4 linked regions of the Macaca fascicularis genome follow. The protein of the gene in region 4 purifies or fractionates together with the protein of the main gene of each other region. This does not show direct contact. Links are inferred from orthologs where the notes say so. Each region holds a gene or a part of one and is shown on either strand. Other genes may lie near its edges.

Evidence for each region.
Region 1: the proteins of SKP1 (region 4) and PTAR1 purify together in Homo sapiens (co-immunoprecipitation; 3 studies listed by BioGRID and IntAct, with this or other methods). This does not show direct contact. The link is inferred for Macaca fascicularis from reciprocal best matches to the Homo sapiens genes SKP1 and PTAR1.
Region 2: the proteins of SKP1 (region 4) and FBXL6 purify together in Homo sapiens (affinity purification with mass spectrometry; 6 studies listed by BioGRID and IntAct, with this or other methods). This does not show direct contact. The link is inferred for Macaca fascicularis from reciprocal best matches to the Homo sapiens genes SKP1 and FBXL6.
Region 3: the proteins of SKP1 (region 4) and YAF2 purify together in Homo sapiens (affinity purification with mass spectrometry; 3 studies listed by BioGRID and IntAct, with this or other methods). This does not show direct contact. The link is inferred for Macaca fascicularis from reciprocal best matches to the Homo sapiens genes SKP1 and YAF2.

The regions. Positions count from the first base shown.
Region 1 is NC_088389.1:100,449,622-100,455,699, reverse strand, and holds the start of PTAR1 (protein prenyltransferase alpha subunit repeat-containing protein 1), read left to right. Parts: upstream 1-2,013; 5' UTR 2,014-2,028; coding exon 2,029-2,114; intron 2,115-6,078.
Region 2 is NC_088382.1:154,038,137-154,044,231, reverse strand, and holds FBXL6 (F-box/LRR-repeat protein 6), read left to right. Parts: upstream 1-2,030; 5' UTR 2,031-2,058; coding exon 2,059-2,462; intron 2,463-2,706; coding exon 2,707-2,865; intron 2,866-2,991; coding exon 2,992-3,055; intron 3,056-3,372; coding exon 3,373-3,504; intron 3,505-3,578; coding exon 3,579-3,686; intron 3,687-3,778; coding exon 3,779-3,892; intron 3,893-3,942; coding exon 3,943-4,192; intron 4,193-4,400; coding exon of another isoform or gene 4,401-4,425; coding exon 4,426-4,672; intron 4,673-4,960; coding exon 4,961-5,108; 3' UTR 5,109-5,208; downstream 5,209-6,095. Other genes in the region: SLC52A2 (solute carrier family 52, riboflavin transporter, member 2), read right to left, coding at 1-20, 118-985, 1,278-1,323, 1,742-1,930.
Region 3 is NC_088385.1:48,807,355-48,813,398, reverse strand, and holds the start of YAF2 (YY1-associated factor 2), read left to right. Parts: upstream 1-1,979; 5' UTR 1,980-2,044; coding exon 2,045-2,070; intron 2,071-2,513; coding exon 2,514-2,639; intron 2,640-4,394; coding exon of another isoform or gene 4,395-4,596; exon of another isoform or gene 4,597-4,786; intron 4,787-6,044. UniProt on the Homo sapiens protein: Binds to MYC and inhibits MYC-mediated transactivation. Also binds to MYCN and enhances MYCN-dependent transcriptional activation. Increases calpain 2-mediated proteolysis of YY1 in vitro.
Region 4 is NC_088380.1:140,677,900-140,682,363, reverse strand, and holds the end of SKP1 (S-phase kinase-associated protein 1), read left to right. Parts: intron 1-986; coding exon 987-1,127; intron 1,128-1,816; coding exon 1,817-1,852; 3' UTR 1,853-2,712; downstream 2,713-4,464. UniProt on the Homo sapiens protein: Essential component of the SCF (SKP1-CUL1-F-box protein) ubiquitin ligase complex, which mediates the ubiquitination of proteins involved in cell cycle progression, signal transduction and transcription.

The sequences.
Region 1 (6,078 bases), on a different chromosome or scaffold from region 4:
AGTAGCTGGGATTACAAGCATGTGCCACCATGCCCAGCTAATTTTGTATTTTTAGCAGAGATGGGGTTTCACTGTCTTGGCCAGGATGGTCTCGATCTCCTGATCTCGTGATCCTCCCGCCTCTGCCTCCCAAAGTGCTGGGATTACAGGTGTGAGCCACTGCGCCTGATCCTATCTCACTTCTTTTGCAACTAGAAGGCCAAGTTCAGCCTTTATAAACATACCCACAGGAAATACTGACCACTGAGTATAGTAAATTTATATTTTTCGTTTATATTTCTCATTCACTTTACATGCAATGGATAGTTTTTAGTTTTACAATCATAAAAACGACCACAAATGCTCCGCATATGTTCACATTAAACACACCATGAACTTGTTCTTTTTTTTTTTTTTTTTTTTAAGTTTTTTAAGATACAGATTTCTTTTTTTTTCTCTTGGTTTTTTTAAGACGGAGTCTCGCTCTGTCCCCCAGACTAGAGTGCAGTGGCGCGATCTTGGCTCACTGCAAGCTCCGCCTCCCGGGTTTATGCCATTCTCCTGCCTCAGCCTCCAGAGTAGCTGGGACTACAGGCGCCCGCCACGCCTGGCTAATTCTTTTTGTTTTTGTTTTTTTTTTTGAGACGGAGTCTCGCTCTGTCACCCAGGCTGGAGTGCAGTGGCCGGATCTCAGCTCACTGCAAGCTCCGCCTCCCGGGTTCACGCCATTCTCCTGCCTCAGCCTCCCGAGTAGCTGGGACTACAGGCGCCTGCCACCTCGCCCGGCTAAGTTTTTGTATTTTTAGTAGAGACGGGGTTTCACCGTGTTAGCCAGGATGGTCTCGATCTCCTGACCTCGTGATCCGCCCGTCTCAGCCTCCCAAAGTGTTGGGATTACAGGCTTGAGCCACCGCGCCCAGCCAATTTTTTTTTTTTTTTGTATTTTTAGTAGAGACGGGGTTTCACCGTGTTAACCAGGATGGTCTCGATCTCCTGACCTCGTGATCCGCCCGCCATGGCCTCCCAAAGTGCTGGGATTACAGGCGTGAGCCACCGCACCCGGCCAAAGATGCAGATTTCACGGGTGGAAGAATAAAACTGAACTAAAGGCAGCCAGATTTTTCTACCACAGAGGAGCAAAAGAAAACCGGATACACACAAATTTTAGTTATGGCATTTCAAAATCCTAAATAAACTAGAAAGCTCGTTTTTCCTACAAAAATTTATTTTTGCTGTTATGAGCAAACCCTGTCAGAGTCTTGATACTTTTTTTTAAATTCCAAAATTGACGCAAAGGCTACCAAATGTAGTAGAAAATGAAATCGAAAAATTTAAAAACGATTTCATTTCTACTTCCTACATCCAGATGGCAAATAACTTTTCCTTCACTTTCCTTTGTCTTCCTTTAATAAATTTAAGAATTTTAATTAATGTTTTTAAAAAGGGCTGCTTTCAGGTTCAGAGACCAAAATTGGCACAGTTAGAAAGGAGGTCACCAATGCGGTCAAATAGGGACTCGCTCCGCCGCAACGCCTCTGGACCTCTTCATCTCTCTGGCTGGGAAAATAAAGCGGACAAGCTCTGAAAAACGCCCAGGACTAGACTAACTGTTAAGAGGCCCTGCACCCTCAGTTGAACATTCCTTCAAGAGTGCCCGCGGACCTGGCCAGGGGTGTTCAGGCAGGTGTCTGACTCTCGTGGAGTGTGTCTTGAGGTTCCCTTTCTCCTCGGTCCCGAGTGGCCTAAAAATTAAAATAAGAAAATCGGCGGCCTGTGAGAACTTTGCAAACACACGTGCAGCATCTTCTCTGACGCTTAGAAAGTCCGTTACTCGCGCGGAGGCGAACCCCTCCACTCACTGGGAGGCCACCAGCCCTACCTAACGCCACGCCCAGGCCGCCGACAGGCTGACCCGGAAGTGCTCGGCGGCGGCTGCGGCGACGGGGGCGCGGCCTAGCCGGCGCACCCGCGCGCGCGCTCTCCGCGGAACTCCTGCTGGCGGCCAGGCTCACGCGGAGGCGCGCCCGAACAGTCGCGGCCGCCGCCAACATGGCCGAGACCAGCGAGGAAGTGGCGGTGCTGGTGCAGCGGGTAGTGAAGGACATCACTAACGCCTTCAGGAGGAACCCGCACATGTGAGTCGCGCGCCTCCGCCACCTCCGAGGGTCGTCGGGAGCGGGCGGGGGCGGGGCCAAGCGTCCACCCGACCTCGGGCGGCGGGCTGACCACGGGTCCTGGCCCACGCGCCCTTCTAGGGAGGAGGCAGAGCCGTGTCGGGCGCCGCTGGCCGGGCTTTCCGCTACCGGGACGCGCTGGCGGACGAGTCCCTAGAAGTGACCTCGAAAAATCGAAACGGAACGACTTTCTCTCTCCCTTCCCACCTTTTCATAGGAGTTCACGAAACTCCAAAGACTTCCCCCGTAGGTCCACATCCTTCCTCTGTTTAAGGTACACGGGCGCACGCAACAATGTGGGTCTGTGCATACCTTGTAAACACAACTCTTGAGATTCATCCCGGTCATTGGCAAGGGGGTAACCGATCGTCTTTGTCTTAATGAGCCCTAAACCCCTCAGTTTACTAACTAAAGGTGGTTTGAGGCTGCTTTTGACTTTCGCCTTACTTGCCACAAAATTGTAAATTGACTCCGATAAAACATTGTGTTTTGAAGGTGAACGGAGCATTCTCAAGAGAAGCGTCTGTGGGCGCGGTGTGGAGTCTGGGATAATGCAAATGAAACCTCGATACTTTTTAGCATAAGCGGATTCATAGTTACAAGGAGCATGTTAACTCATTTTTATCCCAGCACTGCTGCCCTCTTTAACGGGACACTGCAGAACTGACACATGTATCTCTTCCGCTTTACTTGAAGTACTCTTGGAAGATACCACAAGAGTCTACTTTTTGTAACACTTTGCTTTTGTGTAACAAGTGAAAAGAAAACTATTAGAGAGAGAGATCTCCATTATACAAAGGTGTAGGGAAGAAGCAACAGTGTACCTCCTTTCCCATACCTCTTCCTCCTCAAAGAAAAGAAACATGGCATTCAGTTCTGCATTATTTTCACTTTAGTTGTTTTTGGAGTTTATTTTTACTTTTATTCTTTAGACTGGAACTCAATTTTTTTTTTTTTAAGTATTCTAACAGGTTCAGCTTTTCTGCCTAAAAAAGTTGCCAAACTTGTATCTTACCAAAGTGTTCTTTTCCTCCAAGGAGATGATTGTAAAAGAGTTAAGAAGCTCTCGGATGTTTGCTCCCTTGTGGCACAGAATTGGAGACGTGCAACTGTGCCACATTAAAAACAAAACACTGCTGGCCTCAAAACACACCTGCCACCTCTGACAGCATCCACTTCCCTCCCCCTTATGACTGCTGCCTTTTTCAAAATGAGAGTGTTTGGAATGATTTCCTGGCAGTATCCATAGTGGTTGCTGAGCCTTCTAAAGAATGCTTTGATGCCTTGCTGTATATCAGTCTTTCGATTTCTTTTTGAGAATGGGAGCCTTAGTGCAAGTAAGAGACAACCTCAAAAAAAAAAAAAAAAAGTTGGACAAATCAAGAGTGTATTTTCTCATCACTGGTATTATTTTTCTAGAAGAAATTACAGCAGAGATTAGAAGTCTAATAAAAAATATCGTAATCATCTTATGTTCTCTTCTTTGAGGTAGACTAAAAGAGCATCATTATATTTGAAGAAACCAAGATTGAATGTTCATTGGCTTGGCAGTTTAACAGTGCAGTTTGGAACACGTCCCAGTTCTTGTGGATCACATTTACGGAAACTCTTAAAGGACTTTAATGCCCCTCCCTAATCCTTTTTCTACTGTGAAACCTCATCAATATATTCTCAATGTATAATTTATTAGTAATAAGGGTTTGGCTCATTCGAGATTTAAAACTTTGAGATAAGTTGGATATTCGGAATAATGAAATGATTTGTAATATGGATCTTAAACATTTGAATAGCTTACCTCACTGTTTAATACTAGTCATCAGCTATATTTGAGTACATATTCCCCACAGTAAAACTATTTTCAATAATATTACTATGCATCTTTTTAAGTGCTTTATAATTTGGGTTTTTGAAAATTGCCTGCACTTTCTTCCCTTAATTTAGCCCATTTACTCCCAAAATAAAGAGGCTGTGTTTCTTTTCTTTTTAAAAAAAAAGCATTGTTTATCTGTGACATTTGTATCTAACTTTACTGTATCTAATTCAGTATTATAAAAGTTTCCTTCTCCAAACTTAAGGTCGGTTGTAATTTTATTAGCCAACATCTACTTCATTAAATACACTGTTTGTTTATGTAGAAATATTTAGCCAGAAGGAGTTGAGGATGCAGTGGTGAGATATGGGTGTTGTTACTGTATGATGTGAATAGGTACCTTCTCAGCCTCAGTGTCCTCTTGATCTTGTGAGGCTGATGAGAACACAGGAAAATCACCTCACACAGTGGTACTTAGTTGCCACTCAATAAATATTAGACCTTCCCTGAATCTCTGTTCCTCACCAAAAATATATTGGCCAAATAATTGGTGAATATGAAGCACTTTATAAACTGGATAATACTATATAAATGCTGTTTTTATGGTTGACTCTTAGATAATCATATCGGATTCTCTAAAACGGTAAACTTGACCTAGGGATAGTCTTTAACTTAGTGTATGGACCCTGTGCTAGTGTAGAAGACAACAGTTTACAATGTAAATAGTCATGTTAAAATTATCTTATTCAGCAAGTTACTGTTTTTTCTATTAAATATTGAACTCTCCCTGTTTATGAGGTGTTGTGGGTACCATCTTTACTATGTGAAACAAGTTTAAAATACAGTTCTTGAACCCAAGGCACTAACAGAAATTTATGTAATGGTGGAAATTTTCTATGTTTGTGCTGTTCCCTATGGTAGCCACTAGCCATGGTAGCTATTGAGCAATTGAAATGTCCCTAATATGGACAGGAACCAAATTTTAAATTTTATGTAATTTAAATTGATTTGTACGTAGTGGCTCCATGTGCCCAGTGACTACTGTGATGTGTAGTGCAGGTGTAGATGAGACCTAAGACCAACCGCATGAATAGTAAATTAACACTCCAAAGTAGTTTATAATAAAAGCTGGATAGCAGCATGGTGAGCAAGTGCTATAGGAGTCTAATAGAAGTGGAGAGGAGGCTGGTTATGTCTGGGATAGGGCTCTAAGTGGAAATGGGTTTTAAGCCGAATATTAAAGTCTGGGTAGGATTTGTAGTCTCAGCGGGAGCCAGAGACCTCCATAGGGAACAGTGAATTGACTTAAGCAAACTGTGACTGAGAAGGTACAGTAGGGCCAGATTATGGAAATCCTTGACTCTCATTTAATTTCTTTCATTCCATTTATACATTCTGCAAAAGATTACAGAATCATTGTGTCTGTTTGACAGGCACAATGCTGGTCTCTGGGTATACAGGGTTCAAAGCTGGGTGGCTTAATGAACAAACCAGACATGGTCCCTGTCCTAATGGGATGTTAAGCAGTCAACATACAGATTATGAAAAGAGTCAGAAAAAGTAAGAAGGGTACTTAGATTAACAACATGGAGGCCTAATTTAGAGTATGAGGTCAAGATAGTTCTTTCTGAGGCAATAGCATTTAAACTGAATGAGACATGAGGGGTGAAGAAAAGCTGGCTCATGGATGCACACTTCTAAGGCAATGGGTAGGCACCAGTGAACATTATTTAATAAAGAATAATGAAAGGCAGTTTTAGATTGTCTGCAAGGTGAACTGAAGAATAGAAAGCCAGAGTCTACTGGGCTTCTTGTATCTGATTTTTATTTATTTAAATAATAGTGTAGTATAGTGTAAAAATTTGAGTTTAGAGTGTGACAGTCTAAGCTGTCAAACTGGATTTGAATCTTTGCTTGTCATTTATTAACTGAGTAGACAGACAAGACTCTTCATCTGTAAAATGGGATCAGAATTCCTACTTTATGAGATTATTGTGCAGAATAAAATAGTATATGTAAAACCTAACCGTGCATGGCAAATAACAAACAATAAACAGTAGTAATTTGTGTAGCTTTTTCTAAATAAGGTCAGTAATATAATTTCAGTGAAACATT
Region 2 (6,095 bases), on a different chromosome or scaffold from region 4:
CGCCCAGCCCTGCCAAGGATCTGTAGAGAGTGAGCAGAGTGTCAGGGCTGACTGTGCCAGGACCTGGCTCCCAGCCCTGAGTTCCACCCGCACAGGGGCTGAAGGGCCCTTGTGTACCTGCACAGCACACCCATGGCCAGGAAGCAGGCCAGGGGATTGGCAGCACTGCCCAGCACCACAGCCAGGTGGTAGGCCAGACGCCCGTAGGGTAAGCAGGAAAAGCTTTGCACAGCAGGTAGCACGCCGTTGGTCAGTGCGTTGGTGGCAGCCAACAGCCCCAGGAGGCAGGCACTGTGGGCTGAGAGAAGCTGATAGGCCTTAGGGTCTGGACCAGGGGTGGTGCCTGCTGCCTGGCTTGGTGGCTCTTGCAATGGTGAGGCCTCTTCCACCTCTTCCTCTGCTCCTGGGGCTCCCACCTGGAGGCCTGATCCTAAGCCCCCTGTGGGTACAGATGGTGGTGGCAACAGCAGCAGGAGACCCTGAAAGGCAGCAGCTGAAGCGACCAGAAGGGCAGTCAGTGCCCAGAAGAAGGTGCTGGCGGGAAAACGCTCACGGAAGTCGAGTGGGGGGCCGGGGGTGCCGTTGATGGGGGCTGGTGGGCACTCACGGCGGCCCACACCCTGCACTAGGGCCAGCACGCAGGGCAGCAGGGCACTCAGGCCTTGACCCAGGAAGAATGACCGTAAGAAGCGAGGTGGCAGGTGGCTCAGGAAGGGCAGGAAAGTGACATTAGAGGCACAGCATGCCAGCGCCAGCACAAAGGCCAGTGCTAAGAAGGCCACGGAATGCGACTGTCCTGCCACTAGGACCACGCGGTGCCACAGAAAGGCCAGGAGAGCTGTGCCCACCATGCTCAGCACCTGCACCACCCGGATGGGGACCCGCTCGCCCTTTCCTGGGGCCAGCCGCCTCCAAAGGGTCACCACCAGCAGACCCAGGTTCCCCAGCGCCACAAGCACAGAGACGTAGGAGGGGAGACTCCAACCTGCAGGGAAGGGAGGAGACCATGTCAGGGGCATGATACCCAAGGGAAGAAGAACTGACAGGGCCCACCTTCCTGGGCACACCTGCACCTCCTCCCACTCACCCTCCGGAAGCTCTTTGACCACCACAGGTAGTTCCACCCAGATCCCATTGACCGCAGCCCAGGAGCCCATGCCGAAGAGAGCCACCAGCAGGTGGGTCAGCACCGGACGGCCGGGTGTGGGTGCTGCCATTCAGTCCAAGGCTGCGCCCTTCCAGGTCAAGGCAAAGGTCACAGCCAGTTCTTTTCCCACCTAGGTCCAGAGACGCTTTGGCTCTTCTGGGAACTGAAGACCTCTTCTAGCTTGAAAGAAACAGACAAATAGGCAGGATACAGAACCGGAATCAACAGGGTGAGACCAAGGGAACAGGGGGAGCCCCGGGCAGGAGTGGGGATGGGGAGGATTGGCTAAAACGTACCCAGCAGCACCGCCCGCCAGCGTCGGGACCGCCGGCAGGTAGGGAAGCAGGAAGCCGGCCCGAGTCGCTGCAGCCCCAGGGGAGGAGGCCGAAGGAGCGAGTGGAGCCCTCCTCTCCAGGGAGAGGCGGGGTTGGAGTCACTGCAACCACCACCCCAAGCCGGACACTGGGACAGGGCGCCTACCAGCAGGAGCCAAGCACGCCCCAGGGCTTCGCGGTGCCCGGGACCGCAGGAGCCAAGTCAGATCCCAGGGGAGTGGCTGGGGCGGCTCTGCTCGTAGGGGCGCCGCCCTCTCACCAGCTTCAGATGGGCGACTCTACGCCTCCCGGTCCCGCACCCAGTGCGCTCCCGCTCTAGTGCCGGCTTCCCGCCACGCCAGGACGCCGCCGTCCGGCCCAGGGACGCCGCCTCAGTCCAGACAGCCCAGGACCCGACAGCAGCCACCACCAGACTCACCCGCCGCGACTCCGGGCCCGCCCCCGGCATGGCCCACGGCCGGAAGTCCCGCCCCGGAAGCGGGTCAGCGGGCGGGCGCAGAGAAGAGTCGGGGGGTGTCAGTCTGTAAGCCCCGCCCGTTCCGCTCCCTGGAGCTGCCCCAAGCGCCGTCGGTGGTCATGGCTTCCCCGGCCTCCCGGAAGGTCCGGCGCAGAGCTCGGGCAGCGCCGCGGGCCCGCTCGGCCGAGGACTGGTGGTGGGACCGGCTGGCGCCGAGCGGCTCGGGGTACCACCTGCTTCCGTCCGACAGCATGCTGCTGGTGCTGTCCGAACCCGGACCCGCCCGGACCCGCGCACAGCGACGCGCTGCCCGCCGCACTCCCCGCGCTGCCCGCCGCACTCCCCGGCAGCCGCCCCCGGGCCGCGCCGCGGCCAAGCCCAAGGCCACGCTCAGGCCCGACCCGGCGCCCTCGCCCGAGGAAGGGCCCGACGCGGGCTGGGGAGACCGCATTCCCTTGGAAATCCTGGTGCAGATTTTCGGGTTGTTGGTGGCGGCGGACGGGCCCATGCCCTTCCTCGGCAGGTAACGCTGCTGCCGGGCCCGTCGCCGAGCGCAGCGACTTGGGCCAGACGTGGTCCGAGCAGTGGCCCGGGCGGGGGCGGAGGGCGAAAGCATCGGAGCGCGCACCCCTCCGCCCGAGAGCGCAGCCCCTTAGGCGCCCGGTTGGAGTCCCAGGAGCCCGGCTTTGAGCCGGGATGTCCACTGCGCTGCGAGAGGGGGTATCACCTACGAAGGGGCCGGCAGCCTCAGCACGCTGTCCTCCCAGGGCTGCGCGCGTGTGCCGCCGCTGGCAGGAGGCCGCTTCCCAACCCGCGCTCTGGCACACCGTGACCCTGTCGTCCCCGCTGGCCGGCCGGCCTGCCAAGGGCGGGGTCAAGGCGGAGAAGAAGCTTCTTGCTTCCCTGGAGTGGCTTATGCCTAATCGGTGAGGGGTTCCCTCTTTTCCTTGTCCCCTGGCTCCAGGCTCCTTCTGTCTCCCTGCACCAAGGTGTTGGGTGGGAAGGACTCGTGTGGGAACATTAGTGCAGCTCTGCCTCTGCTGTCGGCCCAGGTTTTCACAGCTCCAGAGGCTGACCCTCATCCACTGGAAGTCTCAGGTACACCCCGTGCTGAAGGTGAGAGCTCCAGGCTGCCCTGCACACCAGCTGTGACCCTCTGGGACTGTTGAGTACTCTAGGAAGTGGGTCAGGCACCTTGAGGGCCCAACGCTGCTCCATCGGGAGGCCTGCCTGCCTGCCTGGTTCTCCTTTCCTGCTGTTTCCTCCAGCAGGGAGGTGTCAGAGGCGGGGACACCCAAGTAGGCCTGACATGGGCAGAAAGGAGGTCGCAGCTAAGGCGGTAGCGTGGGGTTGGCACCAGCCACCTGTTTGTTTCCCTTGTGGATCTTAGCCTGCCCTCTCCCAACCCCAGCTGCCCCTCTGTCTCCCCGCAGCTGGTAGGCGAGTCCTGTCCTCGGCTCACTTTCCTAAAGCTCTCCGGCTGCCACGGTGTGACTGCTGATGCTCTGGTCATGCTAGCCAAAGCCTGCTGCCAGCTCCATAGCCTGGACCTACAGCACTCCATGGTGAGCCCTGTGTCCCAAGGGGCCCTGAAAAAGCCCAGGCTGGGGTGACGGGTGCTCTTGTATTGGGACCCTAGGTGGAGTCCACAGCTGTGGTAAGCTTCTTGGAGGAGGCAGGGTCCCGAATGCGCAAGTTGTGGCTGACTTACAGCTCCCAGACGACAGCCATCCTGGGTGCACTGCTGGTAGGTTGGCATTGGTGGGAGCAGAGGCAGATGCTGAGCCGGGGACTGCCAGGCCACTGACCCTGTGACCCCCTTCCCCCGCACCTCTGCAGGGCAGCTGCTGCCCCCAGCTCCAGGTTCTGGAGGTGAGCAGCGGCATCAACCGTAACAGCATTCCCCTTCAGCTGCCTGTTGAGGCTCTGCAGAAAGGCTGCCCCCAGCTCCAGGTACCTGGCGCCCTGCCTCTCCCACCTTTTATACGCTCCCCTATCTACAGCCTGGGCCTTGCCCCCAGGTGCTGCGGCTGCTGAACCTGATGTGGCTGCCCAAGCCTCTGGGACGAGGGGTGGCTCCCGGACCAGGCTTCCCTAGCCTGGAGGAACTCTGCCTGGCGAGCTCAGCCTGCAACTTTGTAAGCAACGAGGTCCTGGGCCGCCTACTCCACGGCTCTCCCAACTTGCGCTTACTAGATCTTCGTGGCTGTGCGCGCATCACGCCGGCTGGCCTTCAGGATCTGCCGTGTCGGGGTCAGTGGTTCTGGGTTGTGGCCAGGCGCATGAGGTGTGGGGGCCCTTGTGCCATGCTGGAGTCAATGGTCCTGGGTGGTGGGCAGGCAGGTGAGGTGTGGGTGGTGGCTGAATGGGTGAGGTGTGGGGACCCTTGTGCTGTGCCAGGGTCAGCGGTCCTGGGTGGTGGCCGGGCGGGTGAGTTGTGGGAGTCCTTGTCGCCCTGTAGCTTATGCTCACTCCTCTCACCTCAGAGCTGGAGCAGCTTCATCTGGGCCTGTATGGCACGTCAGACCGGCTGACTCTAGCCAAGGAGGGCAGCCCCCTGTTGACTCAGAAGTGGTGCCATACACTGCGAGAACTGGACTTGAGTGGCCAGGGTTTCAGTGAGAAGGACCTGGAGCAGGCCCTGGCTGCCTTCTTAAGCACCCCTGGGGGCTCACACCCAGCCCTGTGCTCTCTTAACCTCAGGGGCACCCGGGTCACACCCAGCACGGTCAGGTCAGCATCCCTAACCCCAGTCCCTGGAGCCAGGGTGGCTGTCACCGCATCTGCCTGGGGCCTGGAAGTGGTGTCCTGCCTGGCCTGAGAGCTCCAGGGGTCAGAGGGCATGCATATTGTCCAAGCCCCTGCGTGGGGTGGGCTTAGGGACACCAGGGGAACTGAGCTTGGTCTTGGTGGCTATGGGTGGCAGAGCCAGGTGTGGAACACCAGCAGGCACAGCTCCCTAACCTGGCCCAGCCCTTCTGGGGCAACAGCTCAACTTCCTGTGGCCTGCTTTCCCCACAGCTCTGTGATCAGCAGCTGCCCAGGCCTGCTCTACCTCAACCTGGAGTCCTGCCGCTGCCTTCCCCGGGGTCTGAAGCGGGCCTACCGGGGCCTGGAGGAAGTCCAGTGGTGTCTGGAGCAGCTGCTCACCAGCCCCTTGCCCAGCTAGGCAGCCACAGACCTGGGACACCTCAGCCCGCCTGCCCACCCCCTACCTTTGCCCAATTTCAGATATTTGAGCATTTTTTTTTAATAAAACGTTTTTGGGAGCTCTGTGTGTGGTCCTCAGGGTAGGGTTGGGCAACGGGTTATACCTGATGGAGCCACTGGGGCTACAGCCAACCCAGAGCCTGTGTGTTGTGGGGTCAGGATGGCCCCATGGGCTCTTAAGCCTGCAGGTGGCCATGCCTTTGCCTGCCCACTGCTGGCACCAGTGTGTGTGTTCCACCCTCAGGAACACTGGTGAGCTTGTCTGTGGTTGCATGTAGGGGGAGAGGTGGGGCCCCGCCCAGCTGTGGGGCTCATTGAGGGGTCCCCGCCTGCAAATTTCTCTCCAGCTCAGTCCTAGGATGTCCATCCATCCACCTTTCAGATGAGGACTGTGAACAGGCCATACAGGGGGCCTCCAGGGGATGGACTGGCCAAGAAGTTAATGCCCACCGCAGGACCTCACCCCGGACTCCCTAGGAGGTGGTTAACAGAGCGGCCCCTTCTAGAACCCGCCCAGAACTTCTAGAACCCGTGCGCGGTCCACCCTGGGCCGCTCCCTGGCCTCGCTGCCCTGCCAGTCGCCTATGAGCTCCTGCTCCTTCCTGGGCCTGCAGCCCTGAAGAATTTGTTCACCCAGGTAGGAGCGTCGCTGTGGGCAGCAGGCGGTGGCAGCGGGCTAGCGGCCGGGCTGACCACCTCTGCCTGACGCAGATGCCTAAGGCCAGGCCCGGCAGCCTGCCCACGACCTCCATCGGCTGGCGCTTCCAGCTCTGGTCCCTAGGACTCTCCTCTCCGGAGCGCCACCTGGCCAGGCGCCTCAAAAACAATAGCTTCTACCCATTCATGCAGCAGCAGCCAAACGGTGCGCGCGAGGCTGGGCGGGGCGGGGTGGGGCGGGTCCGGGGACGGGCCTGAATAGGGCGGAGCCAGGTGGGCAGAACCAGGG
Region 3 (6,044 bases), on a different chromosome or scaffold from region 4:
GAAGGGCTAGACTATGGATTTACAACGGCTCAACTTACGATTTTTCTACTTTACGATGGGTTTATCGGTGTACCAAATGCATTTTCGATTTATGGTATTTTTTATTTAAGATGGATTTATCGGGAAGTATCCCCATTCTAAATCGAAGAGCATCTGCAGTCAATGAGGCCATGTGCATAGCACTTTGAGTCCTTTAAAATATGTATCTACGTACAGGGATTTACAAAGTGCCTGGCACATAGTGCTAAAAAAAATTATTTATTTATTTATTTAGAGGCAGAGTCTCGCTCTGTCGCCCAGGCTGGAGTGCAGTGGCACGATCTCGGCTCACTGCACCCTCCGACTCCCGGGTTCAAGCAATTCTCTCTGCCTCAGCCTCCCGAGTAGTTGAGATTACAGGCACCCGCCACCACGCCAGGCTAATTTTTGTATATTTTTTAGTAGAGATGGGGTTTCACCAAGTTGGCCAGGCTGGTCTTGAACTCCTGACCTCAGGTGATCCGCCCGCCTCCACCTCCCAAAGTGCTGGGATTACACACGTGAGCCACCGCGCCTGGCCAAAAAATATTATTTTATTATTAATCGCACAACAATCTCATATAGATGCCATTCAGAAGATGAAAACGTTGAGAATTACAGAAATTAAGCAATACTTCCAAGATCTATCAGCTAAGAAACAGGGGAAGCAGGCTGAGAACCCTGGACTTCTGACTGTACCATTTCCTTTGTAGTTTAGCTATGAAATTATCATTTTACATGAATTCGGAATTGATGTAAACCTAGAAAGATGGACAGAAACAGCACTGTTAAAGAGGGATCTAGTTTATGCAGAAGTAACCCATGTGCATTGTCAGGAGGCAGCTTTTCTCATGGGAGAGGGATGCAGAGGTAGGGAAAATGTGTGAAGCCTTTAAATGCCAGGCTAAGGAGTGTGGGAGTCGTTAGTGGTTCTTGATCAGAGTGGTGGCATAATATTAACAGCATTTTATTATTCATCTGGTTGTGGACTACTGAATCGATTGGGGAGGTGGAAGTGGAGCTTCGGAGACCAGTTTGATGGCTGTTGCTGGAGTCTGGAGTATGAGGACCTTTATTTAGTATATTGAGGTAAAGAGACCTGGGAAGGTGTTCTTTTGTTAGCAGACAGCGTTGAGGGGACATGTAAACTCCTTATATTTAAAAAGGCCTTATGAGTATGTATTGGGTTTCTTTCAAAAGCAGCTACTGCAGAGGCCTGAGAGGCCAAAAGGGTGCCTTTGGAATTAGAGCAGAGTTAGACTCCTGGCTTTGTCATTTTCTAATTATGTAGCCCAGAGGAAGTCACCTAACCTCTCTTGAGTCTTGATTTCGATTCCTCTAAGTTAGGGGTGACAAGCCCTACTTGTTTGAGCATCTGTGTAGCGCTTTAAGGCATCTAGCAATGGCGCTGCGTGTTGGTTCCCGCCTTCCCCGTGGTGTCCTGCAGGCGGGGACTGAGTAGCTAAGGACGGCGGAGGCCAGGAAAGTCGTTCTACCTGGAGACCCCGGGCTGGCACTTCTGTCCAGACCTGGACAGGCCTCCGAATGCCAGACCTTGGACCAGGCTTCGCACGGGATGACTGAGCATCCCAAGCCAGTCGGTGGGACAGATATTTTCCTCCTCAGAGGGGCTCTGGAGCGCGCGGCAGCCCCTGGCAGCCGTGGGTACCGAGAGGGCGACAGGGCAACAGTGCGGTGAGGCGGCGCCGGCTCCCGAGGCCGAGGCGTCCACCTCCGCACCGCCCGCCGGCTAACTCGCCGCGGGTGCTGGGCCGCGCTGGCCGCGTTTGAAGTCTCCGGCGCGGCTGCTGGTTGGCGGGCGCGGGTCACGTGCGCCCAGGCAGGAGTTTCCCCGACAGCTGGAGGCTGCGTGGGATCCGGCGGCGGCTCCCGAGCGCGGCGGTGCGGCCTTCCCCGCCCCCTTCCTCCCTCCTCCCCCGCCCGCTTCCGCCCGGCTTATTATCCTCCTTATTGACAAACAGTGCGGCCGCGGCGGCGACTCTCAGCGTGCGTTGATAGCCAAGCCATGGGAGACAAGAAGAGCCCCACCAGGTAACAGCGCCCGGGCCCCGGGGCCCGGACTGTGCGGGCGGCAGGGCCCTGGTGCAGGGCTTCGGGTGGCTGCCTCGCTCGCCGCCCGGGCACCGGGGCGAGCACGGGGGCGGCGCCGCTGGTGTGCGAGTGCTGCCGCGTGAGGGGGCCGGCGCCGGCCGCCCCACAATGGAGCCGCGATGGCGGCGGCTACCGGAGCGGCAGCCCGGGTGTCAGAGCGGCTGTGGCGGCGGCGAGTGCGGCCGGGCTCGCGCCCTGCCTCTTCCTGACTTCCTTCCCCCTTGGAGCCGGAGCGCGGCGCGCCGAGGGCCCGCCGGGGGCCCGCCGGGCGGGGGTCGCGGAATTGGGGCGGGGGGCGGGGCGGGGGCGGCCGCAGGGCCCGGGCGCCGGGCGCGGCCTGCTGGTGACCCCGCGCCGCGTCGTGTCCGGGTTGTGTCCTGCAGGCCGAAGCGGCAGCCGAAGCCGTCCTCGGATGAGGGTTACTGGGACTGTAGCGTCTGCACCTTCCGGAACAGCGCCGAGGCCTTCAAGTGCATGATGTGCGATGTGCGGAAGGGCACCTCCACCCGGTGAGTCCCAGGCCTGCCCCGCGCGCCTCCGTCTGGCGGGGTGACGACCAGGGGACGCCCCTGCGGCTGCCGCCCCGTCCCATGACATTCGCGGACCCGGCGGGAGGAGGCGAGACGGAGGTGGCTGTGGCGATAGGAACTGGGTCACATTGATCGCAACCCAGGCGATGGTTTGCGGTGAGGGGTAATTGAAGAGGCTGTAAGGTTTTTTGCTGCCAAGAGAGAATAAATTATTTATGGGAGGCATTAGCTACTGCGATTTAATTCGTATCGCCGTGTGTAATGTCCCTCTCCCCACTCTGGGTATAAAAATGTTGGCTGCATTGTTGTGTTAGTGTGTAGGGATCAAGGAAAACCCATAAAATCCTCTTTAGGAGCAAAGGATGTAATTTAATTTCGTTCCTAAAAAAAGAAAACTATCTGATTGCAGAATACACAATATATTAAACTTCTTTTCTATATGGACTTCTGGAAGGGTCAGATCAAGGTTTTATTTAGTGTTTTTATTCCAGTTCTCTAATATTTTATAAATAAGTAGTTGGAGATGAGCCCAGTCACAGGAACAGATTTTTACTGAAAGTACCTGCATATCTTTAGTTTGATTAAATGGCAGTCTCTTAGACAAATGAGATGAAAAGATCTCTGCCCATTTTCAGACTTTATTTATTGTAAGCTTGCAGTATAATAACTCTGTTTTTTAAAAAACGACTTTGAATTAAGTGGATAAAGAAAATCATCCAGGAAATTCAGTCTGGCATTCTTAATCTGTCAGCACTTAGTTATCGAGCTCCTTGATTTTTATAGGAAGGTACCCTTTGAATTAAATATAATCCTGTGATTTATTACTTAATATGTAGAGAAGATATATATTTTGATGTTACAAAGTTCATTAGAGACTAAACTATAACAATAAGCATACTAATCTATCTTACTGTTGCTTTAAAAAAGGCATATATGATATTGACATATGCAAATATTCAGTAGACGTTAGATTTCTAAAAAATGTGATCTTGATTTTTTTTTAAAACACTACAGAATTTTATTAAGTTTGAAATGTAGAGACAGGAATGGTTGACAGTAACTTATTTGAAAATTTTCTCAGTGAAGCTCGCTGGCTTTGACATGCTTATTTTTTGTAAATATTATATGCTTTTTGTATATTCCCACAATGGATAAAATATTTTGTACATTTTTCATATTCAAAAAGAAAATTTTCAAACATATTCTAAATTTAAGGGATTACAGCAGAACATTCCAAAAAGAAAAAAGTATATACTAAAATGATTGTGGTTACTAATTTTGGACCCATTTATTCTCATTTACAGTGGATAAAATATTTTGAACATTTTTTATGCTCAGAAAGCCAACTTTTAGACATGCTAAATTTAAGGGATTACAACAGAACATTCCAAAAAGAAAAAAAGTATTTGCTAAAATGATTGTGGTTACTATTTTTGGACCCGTGTTTTGTGATTTAAGTATTTTGAAAAGCAGAGTATCTTAATGGCTGTGTAAGGTTGGAGTTGGTTTAGAGTGTATTTGTATATCCGTGTTAGTACTTTGTGCTTTTTAAAATGCTTAGTAAACAATATTTAGAAAATTCGTTTTTTGGAGGCAGGAACATTAAAGTGGAGACAATTATTATAATCTTGATCTCTGGTACTATATATTATTGCTTTTTGTTGTTCCCTCTCTATTTTCTTGTAGCCATTAGAAAAATACTGAAACTAGAAGAGCCTATATGTTTATTTGCAGGGACAGCAAGGAAGGGGGGAAGCTGGTGTCCTACTCCACAGCCAGTCTTGGGATTAGAGGAACCCTGAGAAATAGAGTAGGTGGTGGCAGCTCAGAAGAGAAGAAACAGGCTGAATACCTGGCACCTGGAAGAAGAAGGAATATAGTACACAGGGGAGTTGGCCCAGGACAGAGAAGTGGGCCTAGTTTAAAAGAGGCTTGAGGCCCACCTGGGGGCCCCTGACTTTTTTTTTGTTTTTAACCGGTACATCCGAGCTCTTGTAGATCCAATTTTTAGTGGTGGAAACATTACTTGAGGAGGACTCAGAGAAGCATTGTCATTTGGATTGAAACTGAAGAGGCTCTGGGCAACTCACCAGAAATCTAAGGGACACTGTGTTCCTGAAAGTAAGTGTTCTACACTACGACCCTCTCAGCTTCTTCCTTCCTCTCTCTGAATTGTCTCTTCTCTTTTGATTTTGGCTCTAAGTTAAACCTAAGAGCTCTAATTTCTCTGTTATCTGTTATTTTCCTAGTGGTTTCTGAAATTCAGGGTAGAATCCATGTTTGTATAGAACAGTGTGGAACAGGGTATTGTTAATAGAGAAGATACTGATTACATCACAGAATATTAATATTTTCCTCTCTGGTAATGTTAGAAAAACAAGATTAAAGGACTGCAGAATGCTGTTGAGAAGCAAAAGTTTCAGTAGTTGGAAGGAATAATTCTCCATAATTGACATATTAATTAACAGTTAGGGTAATTTCCAGAGTAAGGTTGGCAAGTACTAAAGCTGGGACTGGATAGCAGCAGAGCAGAAGGATGCAGTTTGCTGATGTTTTGTTTGTGTGACCCATAGATGGGATTTGAATCCTTTGGGTCAGACTGACCTTTGAACTGATTCTGCCTCATTGCCAAATGTTAGGCCAAGTCTAAGCCATTCTAGACATTTGAAAAACTTTTTTCTTTTTAAACCTGCGGAGAAGATTGAGTCCTTGTTCTACCTTTAAAGTATTTTTTTTCTTTTTTCTTTTTTGAGGTAAGATCTCATTCTGTTGCCCTGGGTTGCAGTGTCATCATCCAGGCTCACTGCAGCCTCGAACTCCCAGGTTCAAGGGATCCTCTCACCTCAGCCTCCCAAGTAGCTGGAACTACAGATGCACGCCATCACGTGTGGCTAATTTTCTTATTTTTTTGTAGAGATGGGGATCTTTGTGTTGCCTAGGCTAGTCTCAAACTCCTGAGCTCGAGTGATCCTCCCACGTTGGCCTCCCAAAGAACTGGGATTATAGGAGTGAGCCACCATTCTGGTCCCTTTAAAGTTTTTATTGACAATATTTTTTTTTTTCTTTAAGGAATATTAAGTTCAAATTCTTTATATTGCAACAGAAGCCCATTTCCTTTGGGTTATATATCCATGATAGGTCATGTCTTTCTATAGAATGAAGTTACATTCATGGCATGTATTTCAAAATAAAACAATTTGTTGTAGCTTCAGTTCCTCAATTTTTAATTTTATTTTATATTTTGGGGTACATGTGCATGTTATTGGGTATATTGCAGAGTCAGGGAATTGGGCTTCTAGTGTACCCTTTATCCAAATAGTGAACATTATATCCAACAGGTAATTATTCAGTCCCTCACTCCAAAATTTTTTACATTGTGCTTTT
Region 4 (4,464 bases):
AGTGACAGAGCGAGAGACCCGTCTCAAAAATAAATAAATAAATTAGCTGGGTGTGGAGACACGCACCTGTAATCCCACCTACTTGGGAGACTGAGGCAAGAGAATCGGCTGAACCTGGGAGGTGCAGGTTGCAGTAAGCCGAGATCATGCCACTGAATTCCAGCCTGGGTGACAGAGTGAGATGGTGTCTCAAAAAAAAAAAAGTCTATTGTAAAAGGATTCAAGTCATACAAAGTTTGTCTTCTGACTGCAATGGAATTAGAAATCACAAACAGAAAGATATCTGGAAAAATCTGCAACTACTTTTAAACTAACACATTTGCAGGTAAGCTACGGGTCAAAGAAGAAATAGAAAGTATTTTGAGCTGAATGGAAATAAAACACATGAAAAATCTGTGAGATACAGCTAAAGAATTACTTAGAAGGAAACTGATGGAATGAAATACCTATATTATTAGAAAGGAAAAAAGTTTCAGATCGGTGATTAAGCTTCCACCTTAAACTAGTAAAGGATGAAATTAAAGTAAACAGAAAAATGAGAATATTAAAGGGCAGAAATCAATGAAATAGAAAACAGGTAAACAATAAAGTCAATGAAACCAAAACCTGTTTTTTAAAAAGAGATCAATAAAGTGTAGTGCTTTAACTGCTTATTTTTGAACTCTTTAAGTGTGGACAAATATTTTTGCCAAGACCTGATGTGGTATTTGTGTGCATGTGTACACACATACACAACAGTAGTGGCTGTTATTTAACATTTGAGCTAGTATAGTTTGGTTAAGGAAGCATAGGGATGCAACATTATAGAGGTGTAACAAAGAAGGTCACATAAAAGTCTTTCACAGAAGAACTTAAGAGTGATTTATTCTCCCTTTAATTTAAAATTAGCATTTTAAGCTTTATTAGATATGGAATGTCAATCATTAACTTTGGATTTAGTTTAAAACATCAAGTATACTTTAAGGAAAACAACTGTCTCTTTACAGGCTGCAAACTACTTAGACATCAAAGGTTTGCTTGATGTTACATGCAAGACTGTTGCCAATATGATCAAGGGGAAGACTCCTGAGGAGATTCGCAAGACCTTCAATATCAAAAATGACTTTACTGAAGAGGAGGAAGCCCAGGTAGGTAGCACAAAGTTTTGTCTTTGATCACATGCTCTTAAAAAGGGACTAACGCCTATAACATGCCAGGAAAAGAGGTGACTGTATCAAGTAGTCTTGATACTTCAGGGATAATATGTACTTTATGTGTCTTAAACATATTCTTACTGGTCTGTCTTTATGAATCTGAACACTTAGGTGATACTGCATTTTAAGCATAAGAACAATTAGTTTTCAATGAGAAGAGCTCTAGTTACTGTATTAACAGTTACCAGTTTTGGCACCTGCAACTTTCTGTATAGACCATACATATCTGACTTCAGAAAAGCAAGCCCTATAGAGAAGTGTATGCTAGGGTACTTTAGAGTAACTTAATGAGGGGAGGAAATGAAATAATAGATCAGAATGATTTTGTTGACATGACTACAGACTGAAATTATGTGACTGAATTAACTGAATTTGCTCTGTCAACTTTAGTGAATTGCCCATTGCCTTTGCTTTGTTCATAATTTCAGCAGGGCAGAATAAAAACCGTGGGAGGCAAAAAAAGGAAATCCGGAAATATAGTCTTAATCTGATGTTATTCTAATTTTCCATGGGTTCTCAGTTCTGACTCAACTCACTGGCTATTGATGAATCAGTAGGTATTATTTTAAGTCTTAGGAAAGACTACTCAAGTTAAGGTACTTCCTTATATTCATCTCTTTTAGGTACGCAAAGAGAACCAGTGGTGTGAAGAGAAGTGAAATGTTGTGCCTGACACTATAACACTGTAAGGATTGTTCCAAATACTAGTTGCACTGCTCTGTTTATAATTGTTAATATTAGACAAACAGTAGACAAATGCAGCAGCAAGTCAATTGTATTAGCAGAATATTGTCCTCATTGCATGTGTAGTTTGAGTATAGATTCCAAACCTATGGCTGAGTTTCTTTTAGTATGATCGAAAGTTTCTTTTTTCTTTGCTCTGAATAAAACTGAACTGTGGGTTCTCTGTAAGTGGCATTTTGGGCTTTCCCTCTTTTTTGTAAAGCAATTTCTGCCTAGTTTATTGTCCAGTTAACTTTAGTGACCTTTTGAAAGTTGGCATTGTAAATAAAACAAGTTGCAAAAAAGTTTTTTGGAATAGAATTAACAAAATATTCTCTTTATTCATGAGTTGGAAACTGGAAAAAGGCTTCTTGAGGTAAATGTTCTGAGTGGAATTACTAGGATGTCTTCCAGCCTCCTGCAGTCAAGGAGTACCACTGTATTAGCCTGTATGTAGCAGGGCTCCCTTCATTGCATCTGAGGACTTGTTTTCTTTTTCTTTAATTTTATTTTTAATCCTCTTAGTTTTAAATATATTGCCTAGAGACTCAGTTACTACCTAGTTTGTGGGTTTTTGGGAGAAATGTAACTGGACAGTTTGTTAGCTTTTCAATTAAAAAAGACACTTAACCCATGTGGGATGTCATCTTTTTATAATCAGTGTTCCCACGTGGGGAAAATTATTCACACTACTTGCATGTAAAAAATAATTTAACTTTTATCATTAAAATATGTGGTAAAACCCAGAAAGCATCCATCATGAATGCAAGATACTTTCAATAAAAAGTAAGTTGTATAGTAGGTAGTTAAGTTTGCTTTTGTGGACTTAAATGTGTCTCTTCACTTAAATGGGTTGAAAGTGTATATATATTTGTTTAGCTTGAAAAGAGTTCATATCCTAGCTCACTGGAGGCTGCTGACATAACCATAACTTCTGTCCCTTCTAATTGTCATTTATATGCCTAACTGGAGCTAGTACTTTAATTTTTTTTTTTTTTTTTTGAGACGGAGTCTCGCTCTGTCGCCCAGGCTGGAGTGCAGTGGCGCGATCTCAGTTCACTGCAAGCTCCGCCTCCCGGGTTCCCGCCATTCTCCTGCCTCAGCCTCCCGAGTAGCTGGGACTACAGGCGCCCGCCACCTCGCCCGGCTAGTTTTTGTATTTTTAGTAGAGATGGGGGTTTCACATGTTAGCCAGGATGGTCTCGATCTCCTGACCTCGTGATCCGCCCATCTCGGCCTCCCAAAGTGCTGGGATTACAGGCTTGAGCCACCGCGCCCGGCCGTACTTTAATTCTTAACACATTACTCTGTCATTGTTTCCAGCTTCTCTCCTACAATAGAATGAAGTTTTTTTATGGCTTGAGATGGCTCACAAATTTTGATTTTTTTTTCTTCCTTGTGCTCCCTTTTTTTCTCCTTCCTTTTCCAGTTGACATCTATATTCGTATGTAATCTTGTTTTCTCTTCACATTCACTGAATTGTTGAGGCTCAGATCATCCCTTGACAGTAGTTTGCCTTCATCTCACCTTTCATTTGTCCCAGATTCACCTAAGTCCCATATGTTGTCTCACTTAATTCCAATTTGTTGTCTGTACCAGAGATAGGAAACTATAACGTGTGTGGGTCAAATCAGGCCCATAGCCTGTTTTTGTAGTCTTTGAGCTAAAAATGGTTTTTGCATTGTAAAGGGTTGTTTAAAATACACACACACATACACACACACACACACACACAAACAGAAACTGTATTTGACCAAAAAGTAACATATTTTGGCCGGGCGCAGTGGCTCAAGCCTGTAATCCCAGCACTTTGGGAGGCCGAGATGGGCGGATCACGAGGTCAGGAGATCGAGACCATCCTGGCTAACACGGTGAAACCCCGTCTCTACTAAAAAATACAAAAAACTAGCCGGGCGCGGTGGCGGGCGCCTGTAGTCCCAGCTACTCCGGAGGCTGAGGCAGGAGAATGGCGTGAACCCGGGAGGCGGAGCTTGCAGTGAGCTGAGATCCGGCCACTGCACTCCAGCCTGGGCGGCAGAGCGAGACTCCGTCTCAAAAAAAAAAAAAAAAAAAAAAAAAGTAACATATTTTACTATCTGGCATTTTACAGAAAATATTTGCCAGCCCCTGTGACTACTTTTGGATTCCTGGTTCCCGTTATTCTTAGGAGATAAGCTTGTTTTCTCTTTGTCCTGGTTTTAGTGGGAAAGGTAGCAGTGTACAGTCCTAGCTGAATTGTCTCATCTACCAATTCCTGCTATAAGATCAACTTCTGCAAAAACCTTATCCACCTCAAGTATCCTTAGCAGTTGGGCATGGTGGCTTATGCCTGTAATCTCAACATTTTGGGAGGACAAGGCAGGAGGATCATTTGAGCCCAGGAGTTCGAGACCAGCCTGGGCAACACAGGAAGTCCCTGTCTCTCCAAAAAAAATAAATAAATAAAAAGCAGTCATTTGGTGCATGCCTGTGATCCCAACTACTTGGGAGGCTGAGGTGGGAAGATTGCTTGAGCCTGAGAGGTCGAGGCTACAGTGAGCTGGCATTG